Lytechinus pictus: one gene and its partner. The protein of the gene in region 1 interacts with the protein of each later gene in a pairwise test. Links are inferred from orthologs where the notes say so. Each region holds a gene or a part of one and is shown on either strand. Other genes may lie near its edges. The genes, in order: serine/threonine-protein kinase 4-like and small ribosomal subunit protein uS10-like.

What was found.
Region 2: the proteins of serine/threonine-protein kinase 4-like (region 1) and small ribosomal subunit protein uS10-like interact in a two-hybrid assay, tested with the Drosophila melanogaster proteins (2 studies listed by BioGRID). The link is inferred for Lytechinus pictus from reciprocal best matches to the Drosophila melanogaster genes hpo and RpS20.

The regions. Positions count from the first base shown.
Region 1 is NC_087245.1:34,386,087-34,394,223, reverse strand, and holds the start of serine/threonine-protein kinase 4-like, read right to left. Parts: upstream 3,267-8,137; 5' UTR 3,115-3,266; coding exon 3,101-3,114; intron 2,473-3,100; coding exon 2,392-2,472; intron 827-2,391; coding exon 646-826; intron 1-645. UniProt on the Drosophila melanogaster protein: Plays a key role in the Hippo/SWH (Sav/Wts/Hpo) signaling pathway, a signaling pathway that plays a pivotal role in organ size control and tumor suppression by restricting proliferation and promoting apoptosis.
Region 2 is NC_087261.1:19,003,862-19,011,685, forward strand, and holds the start of small ribosomal subunit protein uS10-like, read right to left. Parts: upstream 3,237-7,824; 5' UTR 3,025-3,236; coding exon 3,022-3,024; intron 460-3,021; coding exon 160-459; intron 1-159.

The DNA of each region.
Region 1 (8,137 bases):
ATTTGCATTATTCAGGTGAAACAGTTCTAGGCATGTCTTTATGAATATTCATTAGATAGGGCTGATGATGTCATATCCCAACTTGTTCTTTCGTATTTTATTATAAGAAATTAGGTTTATTCAAAAATTTTCTACCAAGAACTAAAACAATTGGATTGACAACTGATTTAATGCATTAGTTATCTATTGTCGCAACTTTTTTCATCATAATGGAGACACATCATTTATACATGTATGAAAAATGAAACATTTATGATTTCATGTAATAACATATGAAAAAGGAAAGTGAAGATGTGACATCAACAGCCCCCCTAATGAATATTCATGATGATGTGCATATAACTGTTTTCACAAAATATTGATAAACTTTAAAATTCAATATCTTCATTATTTATTATCCGATTTTGATAAAATTTTCAGCATTTTGCTCTTTGAACTTTACTCTATTTATTTAGATATATTTTCAGCCCGGACCATTCCTTTATTAAAAGGTTTATGTGACATAAATGGCTCTCAATAATCAAACCACAACTTTAGACCAGTCCAGTGTTTAAATCAAACCCAAGTTCAGAATATGGGTCTATAAGTCTGAGACAATGTAGAAAAAAAAGAAGAATAAAATGTGATGAAATTTTGTATAAATACCCAGAGGTCTGTGTTCTTGAAGTAGCTTCCATAGTACTTGACAACGTAAGTGCTGTCACATTGCTGCATGATTGAGATTTCTTTGATGATTTCTTGTAGGTCTGTATCTACCGGTACTTGCTTGATGGCCAAGACCTGACCAGACTCCTTGTGCATTGCCTTGTATACACTTCCATAGGAACTGGGAAAGGAAAAAAAAAACATTAGAAAATAACTTATTTTACGACTTTTCAATATGCAACGAATTGCTGAAGTGATTATTGATCATTATCTATTTTGGGGGCCTAAAAATGAATTGAAGGTCATCTACATGTGACGAAAATGGTTGCTGATCCCCTATTCACAAGCCTTGGTGCCATTTTCATAGGCATCTAGTGCAAGTCAAATTTTCTGGATTTATTCACTACCTGCCTTAACATTTTGCTTTCCAGACTTCAATGTTTACATCTAATTTGTTAATTAATATTCCATATAATGACCTCATCCTTCATCGAATCAATACGATCCACATACATTATATCCCTGACATAGCAACAGAATTTCACCAGGTTCACTGCATTCCATTCTCTCATTCAATGTCCCCTTGGTCATGCTTCCTAGTTTATCCATTGTATAGTTTTTATGTTAACATTGTATAGTACTTATTAATATGCAGAACTATCTCATGAGTTATGACCATCCTTCCATGCTTCCATTGGTTCTTGATCAATAGCAGTTAGAGTGTATTTGGTTGACCACAATGATTTCCTTACATCTAATTGATTGAATTAATCAATGATTTGGTTGCATTGGCACAGGTGAGATTTTGAAGTACAGCCAACGATGTCATTGATATCAATTGTAAAGATCTGTGTTACTTTGTGTGTTTCCTCCTTCATTTATATTTGTTTATTTTAGGAGACCTTTTGAGATTTGATTTCAACTGGAACATCATAGGAGACAAGGGAAGAGTGACCTTAGGAGTGTTATACTAGGTTGGGGCCTTAGCTTTAATAGAGAAACGTGTTTGCCACAGTTACACAACACATATAACAAGTATAAAATGACAAAAATAAAGTCGATGAGTTTTTTTTTGGTAGGGTTTCATCATATAAAGAGTGACATTATTTCCAGTAATAGAGACCCAACAGTAGTTTCTGTAATGACAATATTTATTGGTAATAAGATTATTACTCCAAACTCATCTCTGGTTCAATAAAAAATGTTTGAACACAACTCATCATTGGCTTTTCATATTCAAGTCATCGATTAAGTTGTAGTTAAACATATGTCTTATTTCAAAATAATAAATCAATAGCATTAATATTTTGTTACTTTAACATTTTAATCAAACAATTTTCTATTCAACATTTTCTTGCAATGCTCCATTTATAAAGCTTAATTAAATTGTAACACGTTGTTAGAAGTAGATGGGGGCCGATTGCACAAAAGGGTCTTTCCAAGGACTGTCTTTCGTGTCACCCATCTTTTATGATAAGCTATATGCAGGATGTTCCTGAAATTTAAGATAAACAAATAAAAAAAATTCAGCTAGCTTTTAAATCATTTTTTAATACAATTTCAAGAGATATCACATCATTTTATAAAGAAAGATTTTGTTAAACGACAAATAAAATATGTTTGCAGGTATTTTATTTAAAATGCGTTTCACATGGCGCATAATAAATGGGCGACGCGAGAGGCAATTCTTGCAAAGACCCTTTTGGGCAATCGGCCCTAGGATCCAAAGTAAGACACTTTACTCACCCTTCTCCCAATTTCTCTAGGAGATCAAACACCTCTTCAGGCTCCTTAGTGAGTGCATCTTCACTTAGTCTCTTCAACATACTACACAAGAGAGAAGGATTTTTGACATGAGATAATGATACTGTTATAGATAGATAGGATCGATAAAATAGTTTATTAATAAAAGATCATCGCAGCCAAAGGCAGAATTGTAATCAATTTTACAAACATGCAAGTTACATATATTATAAAGTTTTCATACAAAGTATCGTAACATTTTCTAAGGCAAATTGAAAACAAAATTAAAATAAAAGTCTTGAAATACATGAACATGATGAACAATCAAAATAATAATTTAAAAATGGCTTCAATTATCAATCGCTAAACGAATAGGCCCTATTCGTTTATAAAAATCAATTATCAACCATGTCGCGATGTCGTCAACTGAGTGTTGTCTAACCGAACAAATATGGCTGTTTTGTTAATTTAAATATGTTTTCTCTCATTTGAAGATATTACATTTTATGATTTATTGGTGAGAATTAAAAAGAGTGGACTAGATCTAGTCGTTGTGGTTGTTGTTTCTAAGCTAGGCCGAATCCACTTTTGAAACCTGTGCCCACATATACAAATCTGTGTGTGGTACCTACCGGTATATGAAATCTTGTTCATTTCTACAAAACACGTCACACATATTACCCGATCCTTGCTCCAATAAATATCATTTTACCTTGTTGAAGTCATCTTTGCCGTGGTCCAGAGACAGATCTGAAAAACATGACAAATTCACATCGATTGGTAATCAACGGCGATTGCAATGTAAAGAACAGTATGATTATCAGCTTAATCAAGTCAAGACAAAACAAACCGGAAATCTTCGCAGATATCTCTACTGTATGGCGCCTACACTAGTAATGTGGTTGTATTTTGTAAAACGAGATTTTTACACCGAGAAAATGCGTGAAACTGGAGAGAGAGCGCAAGAGGAACAGAGAAAGATCTCAGTTTCTGCGGCAAAATGAGTACCGTAATTCCAAATATCGAACGACTTTCAGCTCGAATCATTCGAGTTTTAGGATGTAACCCTGGACCTATGACTCTTCGAGGCACCAATACATACATTGTTGGCACTGGTACAAGGTAGGCCTAAAAAATCGCTTTAATAAAGTCGTTCATGTTTGTCTGTGTAGTCCCACTCGCTAATAATCTGTGTTGTGTCAAATTCTAAGAAAGAGAAAAAGAAAGGAAGGAAGAAGGAAAGGAATGAATAAAAGAAAAAGAAACTTAATTCATGAAAGAAAGAAGAAAGGAAAGAATGAAGAAAGAAAGAAACTAAAGTCATGAAAGAAAGAAGGAAGGAAGGAAAGAAAGAATCAGAATAAGAAAGAAAGAAAGGAAGGAATGAACTAATGAAGAAAGAAAGAAGGAAGGAAGGAAGAAAGAAAAAGAAACCAAAGTCATGAAAGAAAGAAAGAAGGAAGGAAGGAAAGAAATAAATCGAAGGAAGGAACACTAGGCTAGACGCCTACTTTTATGTTGAATAAGTGGGACTCCACTCAATTTGGGCCGCCCTAGCCGAGACCTAAGCATGAATATCACAAAAAATTTGTGATAATCTTTATAGATGGGCCTGGCTAGACTATAAATATTCAACAAATTAATAATGTTGAATCGGTACTCACCAGTTCTTTTGTTGATAATGATATTTCGGCAATTTTCTCACGAATTTGGCCCAACTCCTGGGACAAGCCTTGTTGCGGTAGACAGCTACACGTTCTTTATAAATTGCGCGATTTGCGTGCTGTCGCCAAGCATTTTTCTCGCTTTTTTAATGAATTCTTAGTTAAAAATGAAATCAATATCGTAGAAATGTCGGAAATGAAGTTGTATCCCATCTACATGATTTAGGGCTAGATCTTTTAGAAGGAAAGTAGAAATCTTGGGGGCGAAAGTTTCAGGTTTTTTGGCGGTACGTGCAGATGAATGGGAAGAAATCCCTGGCTCTGTTGAGATTAAGCATACGTTAGTAAATGATTTTTACTCTCTAGGAGCCTCCTGGCCAAATAACATGTCCATTTTCACCCTCTGATAAAAGAAAAAGGAACAGACCTGCACACAACTCGTATTTAATGAGTAATATAACTAAATACCTGGGGCCCGTTTCTCAACACCGTCATAAGTCTAACTTCTTGACTAAATCGGAGATAGTGAGCTACTTGTCCGCTAACCGTTTCATGAAGCCCTCTTTACCAAGATCGGGTACAACAACCTCACTAAATATTTATGACAGCTCCGAACATGTCATTGTCATAACTTCTTTCTTAATGACGTAGTGGCATCACGTGGGTAGACTATGACATGCAAAAGCGCATAGAAATTTTAAAATTATAATCTTACGTAATCAATCATAGAGGTTGAAATTACATCACAAAACAAGTGGGTTAATGTAGTGCTGTAGCCGAACCGAACGGTAGTTCGCCGAACATGGCACTTCCGAACCGAACAGAACCGAACCGAACACTAAGACTTGGTTCGGAAGTTCGGCAAAAAAAAAAAAAACGGCTTTCAGCTAATAAACTTATAAGTTTACACCCTTTCTAATCATTATATTTGCGCATTCTCTATTTAATCTTCTTTGCAATTGTATGTTGGAAGTATGCGCTCATTTTGCGGTTACTAGACTTTGTTTTCATTTTCATGTTGACATTGTGGTTTTTACGGCCCTGATTAAGAAAGGAGATCCGATGAATGACGTTGCGCGAGCTTGCGCTATAATCATTTTACTGGCTTTCATCATCTCTCGCTCTGTGGCCGAATCGCCGAAGCATGGTAAAGAAAACCAAAACTGTATGAGTGTTAATTGGTTAAATCTAATTATCTAAAATATTGTTGTTTTTAGGTGGCGAACAAGATTCTTGTTTGAAAATCTTCAAAGTATTTTGAATGAACGAGCTCAATAAACTGAAAGTGAAAGATGAAGTACCATTAATATTACGAATTACGATACGATGTGATTAAGATCGTAACTCGTGTATTGTTGCGGCGGAGAATAAAGATCTGATTGAGGTGATTGACATTATTATTGAGGTGTCGGCTCGCTACTGTCTAGTTTTCATGATTTTAGGGAGAAGTAAAGAGTTTTGAAAACGAGAGATCCAGTGAAAGTGGGAAATAAAGTGAGTGACTGTTAAGGAGAGACGCAAAACAAATAATATAGAAATGAGAAGTTATCTTTTTTATTATTAACAATCAGATGAAAATAAAAATCAAACACTCATGAATGATTACGGTATAGCATATAGCAAGATCCCCTTCCCCTCGTTGACAAGTTGAATGAAGATAAAGCCATGCGGAAACATTCATCTCTTGGGGGAAAATGACCCCCAATCTTTACTTTTTTTCCCTTTCTTATCAACTTCTCAAATTAACCATAAACAATTCGATGATCACTCTACTCCCCCTGTCCCATTACAGTCGTAAAACTTTGCATCCCACTTGGTCTGTATGTTCATGGTCGAATGAAATCTGACCAATGAAATCATAGAAATCTCGGGAATTGCTCTTCAATCAGTGAGCTGAGTTTCGCGAGCAGACAAAGCACGTGGCTCTGTCAGTCCGCAAGCCCTGAAAAAGTAGCTTCTTTTATCCAAGTGATATTCATGACAAGAGGGTTTTTGCATAGTTAATGAGCTTGGTGCGAACCAAAACACCTCTTTTTATTCGGCCATTGCTGCTCTAAATATTGACCAAATTTCATGTTTTTGGTATCTTTGTAAAGAAGAAGAATCATTCTTTTAGGTCATGTGTTTGGATTTTTAAAAGAATGTTGTAATATAGGAAAAACTTTTGATCTAAAACATGAAACAAAATATTTTTTTTCATGCAACAAAAGTAGTTGTTTTCACACTTAATTTCTGTTTGGGCACAAATGATTTTTAAATCATGATAAAGCTGAAGATCTAAGCTTTAATATGATATAATTTTTATAAGAAGATGTATTTTAGATGGGTCAGCAGCCAGCTTTTCATAGGCCAAGTACATTTTGCAGCTCAAAAACAAGAATACTGCGCTCTGATTGGTCATACAGACCACACACCCACGCAAATTCCAATGTTCCCCACACTGGGCCTCTGCAAGGTCACACTCACCATGTGGTAATCTCTTCAAATTACCCGCGCCTGTTTGTTTTGAAAACAGTATTCAGCCAATCAGAACTCTGGATTTTATGTTACTCAGAAATTTCAGAAATCTCGTCTTGCATCTTGATGGAAATAACTGGCTGCTGACCCATCTAAAAGATGCCACATATCAAGAGTGACATTGTAAGAAAGTATAGAGTTTGAGCTTTCTGACGATATAAATAATGTTGGTGCCTAAAACACAAAATGTTGCACAATTTGCAAGTGAAAACAGAGGAAGAAAATTCTGTTTGATGCATCTTTTCAGGTAAAAAATTCACTTATTTATCAAAATATTTCATTCAAAAGAAATGACCAATATAAAAGGGTAACATTTACTCTTGCCCATGGTACAAAAATAATCAATATTACTCAAGGAAAAAGTGGTTAAATTCCTTGAAAAAGAAAGTCTCACAATTCACGAGATTTTGCAGGGACATGAATTCAGCCACGAGAGGACTTGGATAAATCTTGCTCATTTGCTCATTAACACAGGGGCTTGCGGACTGACTGGGCTGTATGTACCGATGCGACAATCAGCGACATGCGATTGGTGGTTTAGTTCACCCATCGAGCCAATTAGCGAAAGGCGCATTACATAAGCACGCTTTCTTCGACACGCCCCTGGCCCTACTATGCCTACAGTTCAGTGCACTGGCGCTGGCCGCCTCGTATGTGATGCAATTGCCAATCACGTTTGGCCGGACTGTATATATAAATATTCATGAGCTCAGAGTCCCGCTACAAGGGGACTGCACATTCTGGCCTAGCTAGCTGGTACGAGTACGAGCGTAGTTAATTTGGCAAGTATCCAAAGTGTGGTCCAGGTATGGACGACTAGGAAGAGTCGCCATTTTAGAACTGTGAGTTACCCAATAAATCTGTCATCAGATAATCAAATTCGAGATAACAATTCGTTGAGCGCTATAACTTTCATAGTTTCATGTCAACAAGATAGAGATAAAATGGTTTGATGTGACAGAGGTACACGCGAGCACATGCAGTCAATCAAGTACAAATTGTCTACCGGTACGCTACGTATACCTGAATGAACTATAGCTTTATATCAGTCTATCATTACCGAACCCCGAACCGAACCAATGTTCGGCAAATTTCTGCCGAACCTTGCCGAACCCGAACATGGCGCCTGACTTGCAGCACTATGTTAATGCAATCAATGATAATTATAATACAAAGAAACTATAAAAACTATTGGTAAAACGCCACAAAACCATTCATTTTGAAATAGTAAAATGATTTAATCGATAAATATTCTACCACGTCAGGCCATCCATAACTGAACTCGTATTTGGTGTTTTCAGACCCCTATTAACAGTTGGATAAATTCTATCTCTAATTTATGCATATAATTTGTCAAATATCGTATGTTTCGGTATCAATGGTTAAAAATGTTTCGTTGAACTGTATTTTGATGACGTTCGGAATCGTAAAAGACCGCATAATTATCATCATTTTACAAAGAAAACCGTTATGGTTTACTTTCGTAAACTATTAAAATTGGATATCCCGGGGGTACCCAATCTCAACGTCCACAAGTGATTTTTTAGTCATGAAAGGAATTATTCATA
Region 2 (7,824 bases), on another chromosome or scaffold:
ATTTCAGAAGCAGGGGACATGTTTGGAAGATGCTTTGCTTACAAGTCAACAAATTATACTTCTGTGACCATCCCCCCCCCAAAAAAAAACCGGCCTTTGCCCCTTCCTAAACCAAAACCCTAATAAGGACATATGAAAGAGGTATGTGGGAAAGGATACAATCTGCTTGACGATCTCCGAGGGGCTCTCCAGGTCGATGAGACGCTTGTGGATGCGCATCTGGTAGCGATCCCAGGTCTTGGACCCTTCTCCACAGGGCGTCTTCCTGGTGGTGATGCGGAGGGTCTTGGTGGGCATACGGACGGGTCCTTTCACCTTCAGGTTCTTGTCCTGGGCACCACGCTTGAGATCGGCGCACACCTTCTCCAGGCTCTTGACGTTGCGGCTGGTAAGGGTGATGCGGATACGATGGGCTGGGACATCCTCAACGGGTCCCTTCATTGGATCCTTGCTGTAAGCCTGTGGCAAGAGTTGATTGTGATCATTTTACTTCAGTATATTGCATATATATATTTCCTTAAATTAAACCACACCCAACCCCCAAGAAAAAAATGTTCCCAAAACTACATAAGTTAGATACGGGGCTGTGGAAAAACTGTAAAAATTTCCATCGGATTGTGATTTCTGCATGGTCAACTACATACCCCCCCCCCCCCTCCAAAAAAAAAAAAATTCCGAACTGCTTCGTGTCCTCTTTTATGTGTTTCTATATGAAGTTTAGACACACAAGTCTGCCAGTGTGAGTCCATCACAAACGTTATCTCAAATGGTGACTGATAGTCTGATACCACATTGCACACAATGCTTGAACATTCAGCCAGGCCATGCATAGCAGGGGGGGGGGGGGCAGTTGCCCCTCAAAAATATTGGAAACCTAGAACTAGTCTAGGCCCTAAATTTTTTTACTAAAAATTTTCATAAATTTCACCATAACTAATTAACGTAGATCTGCACAAAATCCTTTAATTTCACTTTCGAAAATGCAAAAGCGCCCCAACAAGAAGATTGGTCGCTTCGCTCCCTCACTTTCGAGACTTTAGTTTCGTTGTCTTCGAAAATTTTAGGAGTCTTGCCACCCCCCCCAAAAAAAAATCTGCATATGGCCATGTATTCAGCTCTACTCTGGTGTTATCCGGGGGGGGGGGGGGGGATTTCCATTGACAAGAGGATACCATGCGTGACCATGGGGTTTCGAAAAAGCATCCTAAAGTATTTTCCATGTTCTGAAAATGCACCCCTCAACAATTATTGGCGTGGGTAACCCTACTCTTTAACAAGTACCGGTATTGGAAAGAAAACGTTACCATTGACAAATATTCCCTGAATTGACCACCTTAACAAGTACAATATTTTATTGTACTAATGCATGTCATGTCATGGACATGATCATGGACGTCGGCTTTACCTTTACTTTAATTTGGTTTAGTACCACCCCACACACCTCTCTCAAATCGGACCCTAAATACGTAGTGTTGGGGCAAAAAGTAAAAAAGGAGTGGTCCAAGTCTTTCACTATTCTTGCAAATTGGACCGCAAACAGAAACAAATAGTTTTCCTAGATCTAGATTTACCCTTTTTTCATTTTAGTATTTTTGACACCCATCAGTAGAGGTGCATGGCCAATAATAAAAAATATGTGAGGCTGTCTCCCATGAGATTATCTCCAATATCAAAGACTTTTGTAAAAAATTAGGGTATCCAATTTCAGAGTCTCCAGTTTGGGAGACCAATTTCCTTTGTTTACATTTGCTGCAAAAGAATTAGCTTGGCGGAAAATAAAAATGTGATAAGCAGATTCCTCATGAAAAATTACCCCTTTACAGTCTACTTTAAAAATTCACCGTCTACTTTTGTTTTTGCCAAGGATTTTTTTGTCATCCACACACAAACAAATGGGCTTTTCACCTCAATGACAAAATTTTTGGTGGAAAAAATTACACTTTTGAGTTTTGTTGGTGTTTTTTGCAAAGCAAGTCTCCAATACGGGACTGGGAGATCGCATTGTCTCCCATATTGCCCATGCACCTCTAGACTCTACTGATTATTACGTACTTTACATGCACCATCTTAAAAAAAGATCCTTTTTACGTGTTTAACATTAATAGCATGAACATGGTATCCACTCGTCAAACGATGGAAATGCCCCCCCCCCCCCTCCCCGGCTGCTACTAAAACAAAAGTGTAAATTCCTCATTTTGATCTCAAAGTCAAACTCACACAGCACAGACATCGAGACATGTGTGTGCCAAACACCTGAACATGATCAATTCCATCACACAGTGGGGACATTGACACACTCATCTGCTCATCATCATGATCATTAACCCGGCCCAGGGAGCTCCGGCCCGCGAGCCCAGGCAGGAGTCGACCATGCAAAACGAGGAGACATGGGACTGGCCCTAGGCTTGGTCTTGATATAGGCCTAGTATTAATAATCTTATTCTTAATAAAATGTGGAAACAGAAATTATGGCGCACTAACAATTATATGGATGGTCTATCGTCACACACAAATCCCGACATCGAGGCACAGACTGGAACCTATAAAAAAAAATATATAGCCTCGTTCTCGATCGGCCATTTTGTTTTTAATTTTGAAAGAAAGAGAGCCGAGAGGTATCATCACGACAGAACAAGTTTTCGTTTTTTTGACTGAGCCTGAGGTTCCACTCAGTCTGTGCCTCGATGTCAGGATTTGAGTGTCACGATAGACCTTCATCCATATAGGCTAATCGTGGTAAGTGCATAATTTCTGTTTCCACATTTTATTAAGATTACTATTGAGACCCCAATCTACCCCATTGTCTCCATGCATCGTTTTGCACGGTCGACTCCTGGCAAGCGGGCCGGAGCTCCCTGCGCCTGCCTGGCTGGGTTACATGACATGAAACTCGCTCACGACGGTCGACGACGTCGCACACGGCGCGGCACGCACGTCAACAAATTTTAACAATAAAATATCTAATTTTCCTGTATTCTATGAATTATTCTTAGTTTCCTATCATTTCTACAATGTTCATACCATGTTTTTATGTATGCTAGCAGACTTAATCAATTCTGAATTTGACAGGAATTGAACAGAGGTGAGCTAGCCACTTTATGTCGGTGTTCAGTCAACGAGCGCCGAGCTAAAGAGAGTGCAGTACATGAGTTAACATGTGAGCATCATTCAGTGGGCACATTGTTCACACGAACGAGAAAAACTGTGTGTGGTCGCGGTTGCTACGCTATGTGAATGGGTGTCACTCGTTTTGATAAATAAACTCAGCAGTGGAAACAATATTCGGCTAAATCATTACGTTTATTTATTCGGAGGTTAAACAAAGACTCATATTACATTTAAAAAAGACTTTTTAATTTAAAAAAACCTATTTATTTTGTAAATTATATATATTAATTATTTAAAGGATACATTAAAAAGACAATTTTCCTTTAATATACTTAAAAAAAACTTTTATTGTAAAAGCCTAAAATATTCAATTCATTACCCGTCTTAACAACCAGCAGGTAACTCAGTCAATCTATATTCGTACCCCTGTACCGATGCAGACATTTATGCATTCGAGGCCTTAGTATATACGAATGATGCGAGCGCGAGCTGAAAAAATGTGATATTTTAAACTAAAAGTTTGACATTCTAAGCAGTAAGCACTATTGGAAATCATGAACACGATTGGTATTTAACAACAACAAAAAAGTGGAAAGGCCTGGTAAAAATTTATTGCGAATTTGGGTTTTGTTCCAAAAGGAGCTAAATCCAAAACAGCTTTGTTAATCCGAAAGGAGCCTAATCCACTAGGGCCTATACGGTTATTTACAATTTGTTATTTTTCCTATAATACATTCAATTTCTTAGGTGCATGTTGTCGATACAAGTCCACACCATCAGTGCAAATTTGATGAAAAAATAACAATTTTTATGAATATTTTTGGACTTGACTCCTTTTGGAATTAGATATCGAAAAGTCACCTTCCTAGTAGAATTAGATGACAGAATAACATTTTGTTGTTGTTGTAATTTTCAGTGGATAAACATCAGAAAAAGATGTGGAATGTACTTTGTTAGCCATATTTATGTGTTTCATGTTCAATTTCCAATATCAAACATGTTTAAATTGGCAAAAATTAACATTTTACAAAGTTTTTGTTCCAAATTAAGAAGCTATATCCGTGAAATATAAGATTTCAAAAATTCTTAAAAAATTGATAATTAACAATTTATTTTTTGAAATCATGATTTAATCAATCTAAGATGATAGTAACAGCAGTGGCTAAGGGAAAGTGGTGAATTAAAAAAAACTTGATTTACAGAAAAACCTCAAAAGTGGATCTAGCTCCTTTTGGAACAATATGAAATATGGGGACTTTTGACGGCGTTACAAATAAAAAATCAATTCTATTCAATTCAACAATAAAAACATAATACTTAATAAGGGAATGGGAAAAACAAACAAACAAAAAAGTTCCAGACAAAGTATACACAACAAAGGAAAAATCTGATAATAAATAATAATTAAAAAAAAAATTATTTTAAAAGTGTAGCAATATATTGTGAAAACAGTTATATGCACGTCGTCATGAATATTCATTATAGGTCGGCCAATGATGTCACATCCGCTTTCCTTTTTCTTATGTATAGTTTGAAATCATAATGATTTCATATTTTCATACAATCATTTATCACTAAGTCCCCAGTATGATAAAATAAGTTGCAGCGATGAACTGAATGTTTCATATACTAGTACAATCCTTTTTTATTAAGTTTTTTAATTTTGGCATTTTGGAGGACTAATTTTGAATCAACACTAATTTCATGTAATAAAGTACAAAAAAAAACAAGTGGGGATATAAACGTCATATAGTTTGCTCATCAAATTTATTCGTAAATAATTGTTTAGAACAAATTACTGTTTACTGGTATATAATTTCGTTATTCATTGTCCCGATCAAATGTTTAGTGTTGGATTTGTCTTATTTTTTTTATCCGTTCTAATGTGTGTGTGTGTGTGTGGGGGGGGGGGCTTCAACCCCACACACTTTTTCCAAAACCGTGTACAAAAATGCCGACCATATGATTGTGATTTTTTTGCATTGTCAGCCCCCCCCCCCCCACGCTTAATTTGAAAACCGTTCCGTGGCCCCGCCGCGGCCCCTGCATTTCTACCGCCAATACACTTCTAAAACGAACTTATAGGGCCTATGAGAACAAGTCCTGCATGTGTCTTATCGGCAAACTGTATTAAAGAGGAGCCCGAGTTTTATAAATCTGACTTACAACTGAACAAAATGGACAGACATAAGCCGAATGATACACTAATAAAAATACATTTCTGGTGGGCCTATTGTAGGCCTACACAGTAAAAACGCTGTTTAAGATTTTATACAACGCTGTTTACTATATCCATGAACCTTACAGTAGTTGTTTAACAGTTTAAACAATCATGTTTAATTTATTGAAGATTAGATATTGAAAATTAAACTTTGTTGTTTAAGATTTAAACACTTGTTTAAACTGTTTAAACAATTACTGTAAGGTTCATATAGTAAACAGCGTTGTATAAAAAATTTAAACAGCGTTTTTTCTGTGTATATAGTAAGTTGAATATTTCAAAGTGAGCAGCTGCACCCTGTATGAGTATTGTGTGTTAACTTTTGATCTTCGGGCTAGCTAGTGCTCCAGCTATTACAATGAACTATTTTATTTTGTTTTGTGACCAGTTTCTTTAGGTAATCAAGACTTAAAATTATAAAGTTATTAACAATTAGGCCTATGAGAACTTTTTTAATCTTAAAAGGATTTTCTCATGAAATTTTCGCTCTTTTCACAACAAACTTTTTGCTATAGCGGTGCCGCGGATCCTATTTGCCCCCCCCCCACTCGGTCTGCTGCTGACTATGAATAGGCCTATTGTTAGTAGCTTTTGCAACATGCCTATATTGAAAAATTTCATTGTTTCATTGGATTATAAGCTCATTTATTTTTTTTTCTCATAAGTTTTGTTTTTTGTGGGCGGGTCATTTGGGCTGGCCTGGTGGGACTTAACAGTATCATCGAGTCGACACAGTCACGAGCGAGTGTCGAGTTTAGTAAGGGTGAGTTAGGCATGTGTAGGCACGTTTTGAATCGTCTATATCCGTAGGCCTTCCACGTATGCAAACACTCAGCGACATATACGACCCAAATTCGAACGCGATCTTGTGCCGAAACTTCGGGGGAGCTAGCTAGCTAGAACTGCCCGGATCGGAAGCCTTGGCTCATTCACCGTTTCTGCCGGTACTCGGTAACGTAACTCAGTCTCAGTTGTCGGGAGTACATCTCGATTTTAATTTTTATAAGTGATAAGACAAGTGCTGTGAACCGAGGACAGGTCCAGCTTAGTCCAGTTTTCGCCATTAAATTGCAAGTTGAGAAAACCGAAATAAACGGTAAGAAAAGTAATTTTAAGTAATTTAAACCATGATTTTTAAATATTCCATGAGGATTGAGACCATGTCACACATTATCGGCGCCGCGCCGCGGTCAGGCCGTGTGTACCGTACTCACTCGATCCGTCACTGCACTGCGCTGGACTGCGGTAGAAATAAAGTTAGTGACGTGTTCGTGAAGCTGTGTCTTTTCAATAGTCTTGGTTGACAATCGACAGATATGTTTTACTCACGTTGGCAAAAGCCAATCATGTCAACGGTTACCGAGTCACAAAGGTGGGATGGAAATCATGTTTATCGTAAAAAAAAATTAAAGGAAAAAAAATATAACGAGAAAGATGAATAACTTAATAAATAGGGGGCCTAGGCCTAATAGTAATAGATTTAGTACTGTCTTAACTTACTGATTACTCTAAAAAAGTTACACCCGTATTTCACTCCGTCTCCGTTTCCATCCTCCGGTTATCCTCAAAATTGGTGATTTTGGGCCAGTGTCTTATTCCTCACAGGTATTTATTCACGGCTGATTCCAAAACATCGCATGCGATCGCGATCGGTCGCAGGTCAAACCGACGGATCGCGATCGCGTGCGATGTTTTGAAATCGGCCGTGAATAATACGTGTGAGGAAAAAGATACTGGACCCAAATCACCAATTTTGAGGATAACCGGAGGATGGAAACGGAGTGAAATACGGGTGTAGAGTAAGGTATTAAGTTATTCATCTTTCTCGTTATATTTTTTTCTTTAATTTTTTTTTTTTACGATACACATGATTTCCATCCCACCTTTGTGACTCGGTATATCCGAACTGTTTCACCGTCTCGAAGTTTGGGTAGGTGGAGTGTAGTGTACCGGTAGTGAAGTGGAGTGGAGCCTGCACGAACTTCGCTCGAGTTAGTCAACGGTTGGAGCCTAAAAAGCCAAAGCCAAAGGGAGAGATAAAAAATTGAGTTTCTTTCATCAAAGTCAAACATGTCATTCAAATTCGACTATTGTCTATTGACATGGACATGACACTGTCACTGTGAACAGTGAAGTACTACTCAGTTATTAGTACTACTACTAACGTTATTAGTCAGACAGCTGGCAGCCTAGCCGCCGTCTGTTTTGAGTTTAAAAAAAAAACAATTTAAGATTTTTTTTTATTTCTCCTTGTACACAGAGGGCTCGCGATCGTGCAGCCGCCATTAACAATGCAAGATCCCCCCCGACGGCCAACGGGGCTCATCGATTTTTGTTTTTATTTCATATTTTTTATCATAAAAATGTAATAGAGTCCAGTGCAGTCTAGGCCTAGAGTCAATAGAACTGGACCAAAATACAGATTATTATTCCATTTCGGCCTGAAATGCACCAAAATGGGAAAAAAAAAACTTAAAAGGAAAAAAAAAACAGTG